2 linked regions of the Rattus norvegicus genome follow. The protein of the gene in region 1 interacts with the protein of each later gene in a biochemical or structural test. Links are inferred from orthologs where the notes say so. Each region holds a gene or a part of one and is shown on either strand. Other genes may lie near its edges.

What was found.
Region 2: of the proteins of Trim28 (region 1) and Sirt1, one has a biochemical effect on the other in vitro, tested with the Homo sapiens proteins (2 studies listed by BioGRID). The link is inferred for Rattus norvegicus from reciprocal best matches to the Homo sapiens genes TRIM28 and SIRT1.

What each region holds. Positions count from the first base shown.
Region 1 is NC_086019.1:82,721,635-82,729,414, forward strand, and holds the start of Trim28 (transcription intermediary factor 1-beta), read left to right. Parts: upstream 1-3,260; 5' UTR 3,261-3,543; coding exon 3,544-3,889; intron 3,890-4,178; coding exon 4,179-4,291; intron 4,292-4,514; coding exon 4,515-4,647; intron 4,648-6,536; coding exon 6,537-6,672; intron 6,673-6,753; coding exon 6,754-6,870; intron 6,871-6,940; coding exon 6,941-7,055; intron 7,056-7,185; coding exon 7,186-7,332; intron 7,333-7,435; coding exon 7,436-7,550; intron 7,551-7,658; coding exon 7,659-7,765; intron 7,766-7,780. UniProt on the Homo sapiens protein: Nuclear corepressor for KRAB domain-containing zinc finger proteins (KRAB-ZFPs).
Region 2 is NC_086038.1:25,317,939-25,325,262, forward strand, and holds part of Sirt1 (NAD-dependent protein deacetylase sirtuin-1), read left to right. Parts: intron 1-1,236; exon of another isoform or gene 1,237-1,328; coding exon of another isoform or gene 1,329-1,361; intron 1,362-1,851; coding exon 1,852-1,999; intron 2,000-2,635; coding exon 2,636-2,715; intron 2,716-3,959; coding exon 3,960-4,146; intron 4,147-5,958; coding exon 5,959-6,513; intron 6,514-7,324. UniProt on the Homo sapiens protein: NAD-dependent protein deacetylase that links transcriptional regulation directly to intracellular energetics and participates in the coordination of several separated cellular functions such as cell cycle, response to DNA damage, metabolism, apoptosis and autophagy.

The sequences.
Region 1 (7,780 bases):
TGAATGAATTTATGTGTGCCGCATGAGTGCAGGCTAAAAGGGTGTTGGATTCTCTGGAGCTCAAGTTGCAGGTGATTGTAAGCCACCACATAGGTGCTGGGAATTTACTTCTAGTCTCCCATATGAGCAGTAAGCACATTTAACTTTTAAACTGTCTCTTAAGCCCCAAGATATCCAAATCTTTCTTAGTGGAAAGTCTCTAGGAGTAGACTTGAGGCCCTTACAGTTTGTACATTTTTGTTTTGAGACAGGGTCTCTATTATGTAGCTCTGGACGTTTTGGAACTAGCTTTGTAGACCACCCTGGCCTTGAACTCACACCTTGATCTACCTGCCCCTGCTATCAAGGTGCTGGGACTAAAGGTATACAGCCGTGCCACCACACCCAATCTATGTTTTAAAGATTTTTTATAATTTTATTTTATGTGTATGGCTGTTTTGCCTGTATGTATATGGGTACCACATATGTTGTAATTTATGAGGGGGGGGGGCAGGAATATGTTAGATAGATCGAGGAGGTATGGTGAGGTGGGAGGCATTTCTTCCCCCGAGGTACCAGGCATACGATAGGTATAATATGGAATAGAGGTTATTATTTAGGGCATGGGAAGGGGAGTTGGGAAGGGAGGGGGGAGAGAGGGGGGGAGGGAGGAGGAGGGGAGAACAAAGAAGAGGAAGAAGCGGAAGAGGAGGAGGAGAGGAGGCTGGCCCCGGGAACACGTGGAGAAAAGGGGAGCAGGGGGAAGGGGAGAGAGGGGGAAAGGGGTCAGGGAGAGAAGGAAGTCAGAGAGAATAAGAGTAAGATAGAGAGGAAGGGGCAAACAGCCCCTTTTATCATAAGCCAGGCATACCTGGCTGTTGCCAGGTAACTGTGGGGCAGAGCCTAGAAGGAATGCTAACAAGTGTGCTTGGTACCCATAGGTCACAAGAGGATGTCAGGTCTCCTGGAACTATAGTTGTTTGCTACCATGTAAATGATGGAACCAAATCTTGCTCTCTGCAAGAGCAACAAGTGCTCTTAAACTCTAAGCCATTTCTCTAACCCCTTGCCACCAGGAGTAAGTTAGTAATGTCTAGTACATTATTAGTATTATTATTACTGGTTGTTGTGGCAGAGTATGTGTCCAGTTTGACTTCACTATGTAGCACAGGCTATATATACTTGGACTCATACTCTTCTACAAGTACCTGCATCTGTCTGTCCTGCCTCAGAGTTTAGCACCTGTTTCTGTCTACATTCTCTTTCCTGTTTGGGGACAGTGTCTGGATAGTTTTCTACCAATATCTATGTATATTTATTTTTTGTTTTTTTTGTTTTTTCTCTTTTTTCTGGGGCTGGGGACCGAACCCAGGACCTTGCGCTTCCTAGGCAAGCGCTCTACCACTGAGCCAAATCCCCAACCCCGTATATTTATTTTTTAAATTTCACTAGGCATGGTGGTGCGTGCCTTTAATCCAGCACCCAGGAGGCAGAGGCAGGTAGATCCCTGTAAATTGGCTAGCTGAGTCTACAGAGTGAATTCCAGGATAGCCGAGGCTGTTACACAAAGAAACCGCCTTGAAAAACAAACAAACAAGCCCCAAAAGAAACAAAAAATTAAATTACATCTGTTAAATGTGTACTGAATACACACGCATGTGCCTCAGATTGAGCATGGAGTCCGGACAATCTGAGGGGGTTGGTTCTTTGCTTCTACTTTGTGGGTCTTGTGGCAGGTAGTGCCTGTGTTCATGAGCCACCTCTTTGCCTCTATCGCCGCTCTCTCCCACCTTTTGCCGTGGTGGTTCGGGTGTGCTGAGGATACAGTTTAGGGCTTTGTACAGGCTAGGCAAGCAAGCGTTCTGCCACTCATTCAAATTTCCAGTCCCCATCCCTTATTTTCTTTGACCTTGTGTCTCTGGTATCCTAAAGTCTGCTCCCGGGGTTTAGGTAGGCTTGGCTCACAGGCACCCTACCCTGGTGAGTCTGGCCCCAGCAGTCCGTGGGGCCGTGAAAATATTCGCAAATATTTCTACGGGAAGCCCGCACTCAGCTTCCAGATTATACTATCCTTTTCAGAGGTAGAAGTGAGAGTCCAGAGGCTGGGTCTGGTGGGGGCGTGGCCCGCCGAATGGTGAACGCAGAACTGCCGAGATAGGAACAAAGGCTGGGGCGGGGCAAAACCTTGGGCCCCCAGCTTGATTGGGAACAAAGGCCACACCCGGGACAGTGGCGGGACACTCCTCGCCTCTCCGCTGCCACGTGGGTGAACACCTGGTTCTGCACGGAGGAGGTAGACTCTTGTTGAGAACCCTAGAGTTGCTTGTGGGCAACTCACTCTAGCCCAGACCCAGACCGTACCCAGTACACTGCAAGGCTGCAGAGGCATCCACTCAGCACGGCAGTAGAATGGCAAGGGGTACAGGTTGCCTTTTTAACACTGATCCTGCATCTGAGATGAACCGCTTCACCGCTCTTGATCCTGCTATTCTTTTCCTTAAATCAAATTCTTCAGCCAAGGTCCTGCTCCTCATGCAAGATTATTCCCCAGGTCTTATTTCTCCCTCAGATGAGATTCATCACTCAGATCCAACTTTTATTCCTTCGCGTTAGATGTTCAGTTCTTCCACCTCCAAAAAACCCACTAAAACCAGAATAGCAGAGGACTAAAACAGAAGAGGCTTTCGAAAGACTGGGCAGAATTTTACAGAATGGTTTCTCAGTACCTCTCTGTGATCTGCGGTTTGACTTGGACAACTTTTCGCTTCCCGAGTTTAACAATAAAAAAAGTTTGGGTTAAGACCGCCTCCACGCTCGGCGGGAACTTCCTGCCAAAGACCCCCTCACCCCCTCCACCTGGGCTCGGTCTCTGTGCTCAGCCGTGGCTCCGCCCTCTTCGGATTGTCCCGCCCCTCTTCGCGGACTATAGGCCAAGCTGCGGCTGCGGACGTCGCCACGCCTGCTAAGGAGGCGGGGCCTAAGGTACGGTTCTGCACGACTCGCGCTTTCCAGCACGCGAGGAATAAGCCTCGGTGCACTGTACGGTGGGCATGGGAGACATCACGCACGTACTCCGCGGGTGAATTTCCTACCGGTAGTCTTGCTATCCTGGACCTAGAGGGGCGGCTGCGAGTAGAAGGGAGGGCCCTGGCGCGTGCGTAATCTGCCTGCGCCCCGCCCCCAGGCTGCGGTGCCCAACGCGCGTGCGCGACGTCGTCGGCGCCAGATATTTCTGTCCCGCCTCCAGGCCGCGGCTCTTTCTGCGAGCGGCGCGCGGTCGGGCGGTTGTTCGCAATTCTTGCGGCGCGAGTCTCAGCAGCAAGGGAGGAGGCGGCGCGGGTGGCGGCGCCGTCGTCTGTAGAGAGGCCGGCAGCCAGCGGCTTGGCCGCATCTCGGCAGCGCCTGGGGCGCGGCGGGCGTCGGCCCAGGAGACGCGTGGCGGCGCTCGGCCTCGCGGCATCGGCGGCTGCCTGGCCGTTGGCGGCGAGCGCACTTGCGCCTGCGCAGCGGGCTCGGTGCCCCTCCTCCCCTGGGCGGCCCCCCCAACCCCCCGGCGGCGTGTGAATGGCGGCCTCGGCGGCGGCGGCGACTGCGGCGGCCTCGGCCGCGACGGCCGCGTCAGCGGCCTCTGGTAGCCCAGGGTCGGGCGAAGGCTCGGCGGGCGGTGAGAAGCGCCCCGCTGCCTCTTCAGCCGCGGCGGCCTCGGCCTCCGCGTCGTCCCCTGCGGGGGGCGGTGGCGAGGCGCAGGAGCTTTTGGAGCACTGCGGCGTGTGTCGCGAGCGCTTGCGGCCTGAGCGGGATCCTCGGCTGCTGCCCTGTCTGCATTCGGCCTGTAGTGCCTGCCTTGGCCCCGCTACACCCGCCGCAGCTAATAATTCGGGGGATGGCGGCTCGGCGGGCGACGGCGCTAGTGAGTACTGGGTGGCCAGGTGCCCCTCCCCCCTCCTTGAAGCCCGTGCTCGGGACTGCGCCTGTGCGAGAGTATGGGGGCCCGGGTAGGGTTAAGTAGGCCTGCTGGTTTAAGAGGGGGCGGGGAACGGGTGCTGGCGGCTTGCAATGCCGGTTACCAGGTCTGGACACCGAGATGCAGACTGTGGGGTAGGAGTCAAGAAAGCCGAGTGTCTGGCTCGACTTTTGAGTTGGGGGCATAGCTTAGGTGAGCATGCAGTTAGTTTTTTCACACATTCTTGTCTTGGCAGTGGTGGATTGTCCAGTGTGCAAACAACAGTGCTACTCCAAAGACATCGTGGAGAATTACTTTATGCGTGATAGTGGCAGTAAGGCCTCTTCTGATTCCCAGGATGCTAACCAGGTATGTCCTTTGGGATATCTTGTAAGAGAGGGAGGCATCTTTTCTGAAGCATCTCACCAGCTTAACTAGTTTGGATAGTATGTTCATAACAGTCTGAGTCTCTGGAAGGGTAGTACAGATTTGAATGCATTATGTAAAATTTAGTTTGTGTTTTCTGGGAAGTAAATAGAGGTCCGTTGGATAGTTCTGCCTGTTCTAACCCCCGCCTTTACTTCACTCACAGTGCTGCACTAGCTGTGAAGATAACGCCCCAGCCACTAGCTATTGTGTGGAGTGCTCTGAACCACTGTGTGAGACCTGTGTGGAGGCTCACCAGCGGGTGAAATACACCAAGGATCACACTGTGCGCTCCACGGGTATGTTGAAGATTTGAAGGCTGTTGGAACTGCCCTTTCTTGGTTGACTCAAGTGCATACTTGCAGGATGGGACAAGGTGTTTTTTTTAGGAACCTGACACAACTCAAAAATGCTTTGGTTCTGGAGCAGACTTTGGAGGTCTAGGTGGAAAGGGAAAGGCCACAGGTAGAGGATGTGTAGGGTTATTTAACACCTGCTACAAGTCAATACTAGGGATTCAACTAAGGTCATCTTGGAAGTCTCCAGGGGAAGGTTGTAGGTCCTGGTGGTGGGTCGATTAGCATAAGCAGCTAATGAAGGCAAGATGAAGTGACTTGGATTTGGATGTTCTCTGGCACCTGGCTTTAGCTGCTGAAAAAGGGCTTTTGAACAGGGAGAATTTCTTGACAAGTTAAGACTCTTAGGCCATTGTTTAGGGTGAGTCCTGGAGTAATTCAGCAGCAAGCCTTCAGCATCTTCCTAACTAAAGCTTATGGTCAGATTGATACCTTGTTTTCTGGGTTTGGTCCTGACTCTGATGTGATGGTGAGTTTCTTCCTACTTGGAAGGACATTGTTAAGGTAGTAGTAGAAGGCAGTTGTAAGGCCGGTGTGAGAAGTCAGGAGTGATAGGAAGAGGACTGCTCTTACTAGTGGTATGTAGTTTGGGCTTGGTTAATACAGCCTGAATTGGAATAGCATCGGGGAGAAAAGGGACTGATAGGTCAGTCCATACTTTTCTATTTTGGTGAGACACTGCTCAGGCTAGCCTTGGACCCCTCCCCAGACAGTTTCTGTGTATAGCCCTGGCTGTCCTGGAACTCTGTATAGGAGGCTAGCCTCTCAGATTTGCCTGCCTCTCCCCTGGGATTAAAGGTGTGTACCACCTGGTTTTCCCTTGAACATTTTATGCCCCTCCCACAGCTCCAAAGTGCTGGGATTAAAATAGGCATTTGGAATGTGCATGTTCCCCGCCCTTTTTGTTCATTTGTTTTCAAGACTGGGTTTCTCTGTTACGCCCTGGCTATCTTAGAACTTTTTTTTATTTTTGAGGCAAGGTCTGTATATAATCCTGTTCTTTAACTCACTAAGCCAGGAATCAGGGTGGCCTTCATGCAGAGATTCTACCTACCTCTGCCTCCCCAAGCGCTAGGTTTAAAGTTGTGACCCACAAGGCCTTTTTTGTATAGGTAGATGATAGCTCAGCATATAGTTCCTACTAGCCCATCTGGCCTGTAACTCACTCACTGCAAATCAGATTGGTCTCAAAGTCAGATCTTTGTTTTTTTTCTTTTTTGCCTCCTGAGTCCTGGGACTCAGGACTTTTGAGCATTTCACTGTAGAATCAAGTTAAGATTTTAGGAATGTGAGTACACTGTAGCTGTCTTCAGACACACTAGAAGAGGGCATCGGATCTCCATTACTGGTGGTTGTGAGCCACCCTGTGGTTGCTGGGAATTGAACTCAGCACCTTTGGAAGAGCAGTCAGTGCTCTTAACCGCTGAGCCATCTCTCCAGTCCAACAAGTCTGTTTTTTAATTCACCATATGCAGTTCAAGCTTACCTTGAACTTGTGATCATTCTGTTTCCTGGGTGCTGATAATACGATTAGTATTTTTAACAATAAGTGCTGGTGTTAAGTACTCTGAGCCATCAGGACCTTGTTTATTTGGCAATGGTTCATTGGCAGATGGAAAGATAACTGAGAAATAGTAAGTAGATTGTCTTTTCATAAGCTTGTTTTTATTCCTTATAATGTTAGTTGGTGTGGTCATTTGGGAGTAAAATTTCCAGATCTAGGTCTTAATAAATGGGCCAGGGTTTTGGGAAAAGCTGGGATAGGGTTATAAGGGGTTTGTTTTCTTTGTTGCTTGAGTTGGAGGTGACTAAGGGCAATTCCTATTTCTTAGGTCCTGCTAAGACTCGAGATGGAGAACGAACAGTCTATTGTAATGTGCACAAGCATGAACCCCTTGTGCTGTTTTGTGAGAGCTGTGACACGCTCACTTGCCGGGACTGCCAACTCAATGCTCACAAGGACCACCAGTGAGTCTCAAGGCGTAGGGGGTTGTTGGATACCATTTCTTAAGTTTTGCATGCAGGCTCACTTTTTTTTTGTGGTCTCAGGTACCAATTCTTGGAAGATGCAGTAAGGAACCAACGTAAACTCTTGGCTTCACTGGTGAAACGTCTTGGGGACAAACATGCCACACTGCAGAAAAACACCAAGGAGGTTCGAAGCTCGTAAGTTCCGGTGCCAGGGCTATTGGGGTCCCAGGGCAAGGTTTCTGGCTTGACTTGACTTGTCCATTAGGATCCGCCAGGTGTCTGATGTGCAGAAGCGAGTGCAGGTTGATGTGAAGATGGCCATTCTGCAGATCATGAAGGAGCTGAATAAACGGGGACGAGTTCTGGTCAATGATGCCCAGGTAAAATTTAGTGCTGGAATGGTATTGGTCTGCTTCTGCTGGTGGCTGACATGACAGTATCCAGGGTGGAGAAGGATCCTTCCTAGTGCTCTGCTTTCTTTAATGAGGCTGTTTTTTCCTTGACTTGCAGAAGGTGACTGAGGGTCAGCAGGAACGTCTGGAGCGTCAGCACTGGACCATGACCAAAATCCAGAAGCACCAGGAACACATTTTGCGCTTTGCCTCTTGGGCTTTGGAGAGTGATAACAATACAGCCCTCTTGCTCTCTAAGAAGCTGGTGTGTAGTGGTGGCCTTCATTATTCAGCTAGGTGGCCCCTCAGCACCTTGGGATCCTGTAAGTTGCCAACTATGCTTATGTGCTACATTTTTGCCCCATTAGATTTATTTCCAGCTGCATCGGGCCCTCAAAATGATTGTGGATCCTGTGGAGCCTCATGGTGAGATGAAGTTTCAGTGGGATCTCAATGCCTGGACCAAGAGTGCTGAAGCCTTTGGTAGGTTACTTAGTCCTTTGCTTTTTTTTTTTTTTTTTTTTTTTTTTTGCTCAACCATGGGAGCATTCAAAGCAGTATTGTGCCTAATGGGGTTTCTCTTTTCTTCAGGTAAGATTGTGGCTGAGCGTCCTGGTACAAACTCCACGGGTCCTGGGCCCATGGCTCCTCCAAGAGCCCCAGGCCCCCTAAGCAAGCAAGGTTCTGGTAGTAGCCAGGTGAGCTGGGTAGAG
Region 2 (7,324 bases), on another chromosome or scaffold:
CCGAGGGCTGGGATTAAAGGTGTGTGCCACCAACACCACACAGGGGATTTTTTTTTTTTTTTTTTAAAGAAATTTAAACTTTTGATCTAAACTTTTTGAACAGAATAGCCCAACATGGTTGGTTTCTTAAAATCCTTTAGGATATTTAGACTTGACCTATCTTTTTGATTTGGAATAACTAACCATACCTTATAAACTCTAAGCTATTTGATTTATAGAAGACTTTTTAGACTCAGTTTATATAAGGCAAGGTTTTCATTAAAAGTTTTTAGAGGGGCTGGAGAGATGGCTCAGTGGTTAAGAGCACCAACTGCTCTTCCGGAGGTCCTGAGTTCAAATCCCAGCAACCACATGGTGGCTCACAACCATCCATAATGAGATCTGATGCCCTCTTCTTTGTGTCTGAAGACAGCTTCGGTGTACTTATATATAATTAATAAATCTTTAAAAAAAGTTTTTAGAATTTTTAGACTTTATAGAATATTTTTAGCTATTTCTTAGTGGGATTACAGGCATGTGCTACTCAGTCCAGCCTCCTGAATGTTTTCTGTCTGCATTAAATGGAGAGCACAAATCAGACAGAAACCATCATATGTGCACTAACTTCAGTTTTTGCTTAATACAACCAGAAAGATTACATACACCCTTGTGACTAGCTTGCTTTGTTCATGTGTGTCATGGACTATTTTTTAGTTCAGTGCATGAGAGCCCCCTCATTCTCTCAGTGGCTGAATATCCCACTGTATGGATGTACTTACTATACAACTAGTTTCCATACTGATGCACACTCATTTGTGTTTAGCTTTTGCTAACATTATGATGGGTTAAAGCCTTAATGTAAGGAAACAGATAGTGAAAGCTACTTTTAAGAAAAAAGAAACTTCCTTGTCACAGTCCTTTAACTAAATGAAATTGAATAAAAACTCTATTAAAAGTTAGGAGGAAGAGAAGCTGGAGAGGAGAGATGGCTCAGCAGTCAAGAGCACTGGCAGCTCTTCCAAAGGACCTGGGTTCAGTTGCTAGCATCCACATGGCAGCTCACAACTGTTTATATAACTCCAGTTCCAGGGGACCTGACACCCTCACACAGACATACATGCAGGCAAAATATCAATGCACATATACATAAATAAATAATAAATAAATGTATATATTTAAAAAGTTGGGAGGACCAAAATTGATACTTTTTCTCTGATCTTTTTGCCATGTGTATATCTGAATTCTTTGTTTTTAAAGAAGAAACAGCATTGAAGCATTATTTGGGGGGAAAAACACACACACAAAATCCAGCAACTCAGCATTCATGAGCAGCTCTGTTCTATACCAGTATGTGCCTGTGCAGTGGAAGGAAAGCAATTTTGGTAAGGAATTAAAACTTCAGCTTTAAACTCCCAGCAGGTTGATATTTATCAATGATGACTCAAAAAGAAAGTTTTAAATAATATATTGACAGCCATTTTTTTTTAGTTGTGAAGTCACCATACCTTTAATATCTGTAATTTCAGTGTAAAGTTTCCCCCTTTTTCCTTAAAGAAAAACAATCTGAATTTGCAGCCAACAAAATTTAGATGTACCTAAGGTATGTATTTCTTCTGACTAACATTATTAAGTCATCCACTATGATGTGTTTATGGGTCACCTAATCTTGTACTTTAAGAGGCCAAGTTCAGTAACTGCTGAGTTTTCATACAGTAACAATCTTTTTCTAGGGACCATCCATTTAGATGTGTTAAAATGTTCATGTATTTTGGTTATTACAGTACGTACATGGGGGCTATTGTTAGTACCTAGGGATAACTGATATGCATCTTTCATTAATGTAAACTTTTTTCTGCCTTTTGCATTATATAGGAAATATATCCCGGACAGTTCCAGCCATCTCTGTGTCACAAATTCATAGCTTTGTCAGATAAGGAAGGAAAACTACTTCGAAATTATACTCAAAATATAGATACCTTGGAGCAGGTTGCAGGAATCCAAAGGATCATTCAGTGTCATGGTTAGTAAAAGTCACAGTGGCTTTCTGTAGGGTGCTTATTGTAATAGAATATTCATGCTTGGAAAGAAGCTATCTAGTAACGAGATTAAGCATTAATTGTTTAATCTTGAATGTACAAAAATAGAGGAGGATAAAAAAATAAAGGCCTCAGATGTGGTGGGTATATATTTTGATAACAAGTTTTAGGCTAGCCTTGACTACAAGACACAAGCAAGCTAAGGTAACTCAATTGGAATCTTCTAGCTGCAGCTTTAAGCACTTGCAGAGTTGTGTTATTACAAATAGTTTTGGAGGATGAGGACTACATGTACATATATTAGTATGTAACTGTATCCATGTATTATATTCCTTACAAGACTTTGCAGGAGAATCCAGGTTAAAGTTGTCATGGTGAGGCTGGAGAGACGGCTCAGCAGTTAGGAGCATTAAGAGCACTGACTGCTCTCCCAGGCATCCTGTGTTCAATCCCCAGTTACCCACAGGATGGTTCACAACTATCTATATATGAGCTGATTCCCTCTTCTGACATGTAGCTGTGCGTGCAGATACAGCAGTCGTTATACATAAAATTTTAGTAAGTCTTCATGGAGTAAGCCACAAAGTCTTTCAATAAAAGTTATATATTGGTTGTTTTAGGTTCCTTTGCAACAGCATCTTGCCTGATTTGTAAATACAAAGTTGATTGTGAAGCTGTTCGTGGAGATATTTTTAATCAGGTAATTTAATTCATCTCACTTCATTCACTTTTGGTTGTATCCTCATCTTTTCCTCTCTTGTGAGAAGTACGTGCTGTACGGAGTGTGTTAGAAATTCTGGTGTAAATAGGCCATCTTTCTCTACCTTAAGTAGAAGATCCCTTTGCACGGAGGATGTTAGAGCACACCACTTGAAAGCTGAGGGCAGGGGATTGATTGAGAGAGCAGGCTAACCTGAGCTGGATAGAGTAGAAGTTTTTATGTTGCTCCATTGGTAGAATGGCTGCTTAGCATTTGTAGTCCTGGGATTGCTCTCTAGTACCAATAAATCTGGTGTGTGGGCACATGCCTGAAATCCTAACATTTAGGTAATTGGGAGTTGAAGGTCATGGTCACCTACAAACAAGTTTGAGGCCAGCCCTCATTACATGAGACCCTTTCTCAACCAACCAACCTAAAATCCTCCATAATACACTTAACTACCTCCTTATAATCTAGGCCCAAAACTGGAGGCTTGGTTATAAGTTGCAGGGAATACCTCTGCATTAGTCATTTAAAACACTTTAGGGCTAGAGAGATGGCTCAGTGGTTAAGAGCACTGACTGCTCTTCCAGAGGTCCTGAGCTCCAATCCCAGCAACCACATGGTGGCTCACAACCATCTCTAATGAGATCTGATGCCCTCTTCTGGTGTGTCTGAAGACAGCTACAGTATACTTAGAAATAATAAATCTTAAAAAAAATTCAAAATGATAGTGAAGTATTTATTAAAGGAATATATAGCAACACATCCAGAAATATGTCCTGTGTGTTTAACTAAAATCATGTCTAATCCAGAAAAAAAAAGTATATTCCAATGGAGTCATTTTTACAAACATTTTGAAAAGGTCTTATGTGCATGCTTTTCTATGCTCTTTGCATATTTATAGTGTTTTGTGTGTGCAGTGGGGAAATAGCATGTATTTATAGTGTTTTTTGTGTGCACAGTGGGGAAATAGCACGTGTGGAGACGGGAGACAGAGGGTGAGAGATCAGGCTGTGGTGGTCAGAGGATCAACCTGGGAGTCAGTTCTCAATTTCTACCTGGGAGTTAAATTTGGTTGTCAGTTTGGTGGAAAGTGTCCTTACCTGGTGGACTCATCACCCCAGCCCCACCCTGGCTCCACAGCAGCATACTATCAAATTTATGACTGCACAGCTTTTGTTTCTGGGAATTTTGCCAACTGCTAACCTGGGCTACTACTTCGCTCTCAATGTTTTGTGCAGGTAGTTCCTCGGTGTCCTAGGTGCCCAGCTGATGAGCCACTTGCCATCATGAAGCCAGAGATTGTCTTCTTTGGTGAAAACTTACCAGAACAGTTTCATAGAGCCATGAAGTATGACAAAGATGAAGTTGACCTCCTCATTGTTATTGGGTCTTCTCTGAAAGTAAGACCAGTAGCACTAATTCCAAGTAAGTTGGTTTAGGGGACAGTTCTGCGTGCTGAGTTGTGGATCTGTGTAAGATGTGACTGTTTTTATTTAGAGAATAGTTGGAAGGTCTAACCTGTACTTTTTAGGTGATCTTCATAAAGTGACATTTTGATATGGGAATGGGGCTACGAAGACAGAACTAACATCAAATTTTAATTGTTCATATAAAATCAAAGCAAAACTATGTGACTCATGCTTTTTAGTAGTATGTATATTAAAGTCAGCTTCAATTAATTCCATGTTTATTTTTATGTTTGGGTGTTTTGTCTGCATGTGTGCCTACTTTGGCCAGACAAGAATGTTAAGAGTGTACCCTTCCACCCAAAGTGGTTCTCAACCTTCCTAATGATTCAGTCCTTTAGTACAATTCATGTTATAACCTCTAGTGATAAAATTAGTTTTGTTACTTAATAACTGTAATTTTGCTAGTTATAAATCACAATGTAAATGTTTTTTTCTGATGGTCTTCGGCAACCCCTGTGAAAGGCTTATTTAACCCCCAAAGGAGTTTTAACCCACAGTTTGTGACCCACCGCTCTAGAATATGTATAGTATCTCCCCACTGTGCACACAAAAACACTATAAATACATGCTATTTCCCCACTGCACACACAAAACACTATAAATATGCAAAGAGCATATTCATCAGTCCATCTCTGGGACACACCATCTACACACACAGTTCTCATCACACAGTCAAGAGCACCATTCTTGAGAGGATCCAGGATGAGTTCCTCACATCCAAATAAGTTTGTCTCCAGTTTATAGGGGATCTGTTGCTCCATTTGGCCAAGTACTCGAATTGTACATGCACATGTATGGAGTATAGAGACACATAGTGCACCTTCCCCTATACACACATAGACACACTTTTTTTTTTGGTTCTTTTTTTTTTCAGGAGCTGGGGACCGAACCCAGGGCCTTGCGCTTCCTAGGCAAGCGCTCTACCACTGAGCTAAATCCCCAACCCCGACACACTCTACTTCTTGAGACAAGATCTCACTACACTTGGCACTGGGACATCTATGTAGACTAGGTTAGCCCTAGAGAATAGAGAATGCCTGTTCAGTCTCTCCTGAGTGATGGGATCAAAGGCATGTGCTACTGCTCCCAGCTAATCTTCGGTAGCCAGGAGTGGTGGTATATACCTGTCTGTAAACCATGTGGTATAGGGTAAAGGCAGGAGAGTCAGGAGTTCAAACAATAGCTTCTACTTAGCAAATTTTGGGGCCAGCCTGGGATATATATTAAAAAAAAGTTTATTCCTTAACAGTTGTAGCTCCACAAGGGTATTTGCTTATGTCCAGGAACATAGCCTATTGGCTAACATAATCCCAAAAGGTGATTTTTCCTTTTTTTTAATTGAAACTACCCCTCCATGTCCAAGTTTCTGTCATTCTTGATGTCTTGAAATGCATAAGGGTCCACCTGCCTTCTTTACGAAGTGTTAAAGCCGTGAGCCTCCAGGACTACTAGCTAGACTTTATTTTTTTAAGCTAATTCAGAGGATCTTGTTGATTAAAAATTTAAGCTCTCTGAACTTGAACATCTGTCTAATGAGCCTGAGACAGGATTGCCATAAAGTTTAAGGCCACAGAATAGCACAGCCTCAGTGGGAGAAAAGTACATGGTTATTGAGAGGAAATTGCTTCTGAAAATGTAAAATGCATCCCTGTTGACCCTTTTGTTGTTGTTGAGACAAGGTCTCATTGGGATTCCAGTGTTGGGATAAGGGAGTTGTCATTACATTTCTCTCCATTTTCTAACTTACCTTTTTACCTTTTTTTTTTAGGTTCTATACCCCATGAAGTGCCTCAAATATTAATAAATAGGGAACCTCTGCCTCATCTACATTTTGATGTAGAGCTTCTTGGAGACTGCGATGTCATAATTAATGAGTTGTGTCATAGGTTAGGTGGCGAGTATGCCAAACTTTGTTGTAACCCTGTAAAGCTTTCAGAAATTACTGAAAAACCTCCACGAACACAAAAGGAATTGGTTCATTTATCAGAGTTGCCACCAACACCTCTTCATATTTCAGAAGACTCAAGTTCACCTGAAAGAACTGTACCACAAGACTCTTCTGTGATTGCTACACTTGTAGACCAAACAATAAAGAACAAAGTTGACGATTTAGAAGTATCTGAACCAAAAAGTTGTGTGGAAGAAAAATCACAGGAAGTACAGACTTATAGGAATGTTGAGAGCATTAATGTGGAAAACCCAGATTTCAAGGCTGTTGGTTCCAGTACTGGAGACAAAAATGAAAGAACTTCTGTTGCAGAAACAGTGAGAAAATGCTGGCCTAATAGACTTGCAAAGGAGCAGATTAGTAAGCGTCTTGACGGTATGGAATGCTTTTTGTTGAACCACTTTCAAAGTACTGTGATCAGAGAAAGGAAAGATAACTGCTTTGACATTAGTTGATCAAGGTAGTGCTGGTATTATTTGTTTGTGTGTATTAAGCTGGAGTAAGTTTAGGTGATGTGTTTGTTTTTGTGTGATTAAACCTAGGGCTTCAAGCAGCTAGGCAGCTTGATCTGTCAACTGAGAGCCCCAAGAGTGGGTTTTAAAGTATATTGCTGTGCTGTTTTAAGTGGCAGAAATGATTTATTTAAAAAGGTGGCTCACCAGGTAAATGTACTCTTGAGTCTTGAGTGCTTACTGTGGGTCATTTTATGATCTTACAAGGCAGGAGCCATGTTCTAGGTGGCAAAACTCAGGGTTTAAAAGATCTTATCACATATATATGTATGTGTGTCTCATTGATATGACCCCTGGAAGGTAATTGGGTTATACCTTCCTCTAGAGACTCAACCCTCTGGGCTGCCTTGTTTAAGATCTGAAAACAGGATTCCTATCTATCTACTGGACATCTATTTTGTCCTATTAACATAAGCAAGATACTTGACATTTTGAAGAATCATATGTTAAGCATAAAGTATGGCCCCATAAGAGTCTTAAAGGCCTCATTTGGACAGCAAGCTGGCCTTTAAATGTGTGTACTTTGATCCTTGGTAAGCATCTTAACCATAACAATTGGGACAACAACAGAGCACTATAATATAAAATCTATATACCCTTTATATGCACAAATACCCAACAGACTTCTTAAGGGCAAGGGTCTCATTATATAGCCCTGAGAGGTCTGCTTTTGT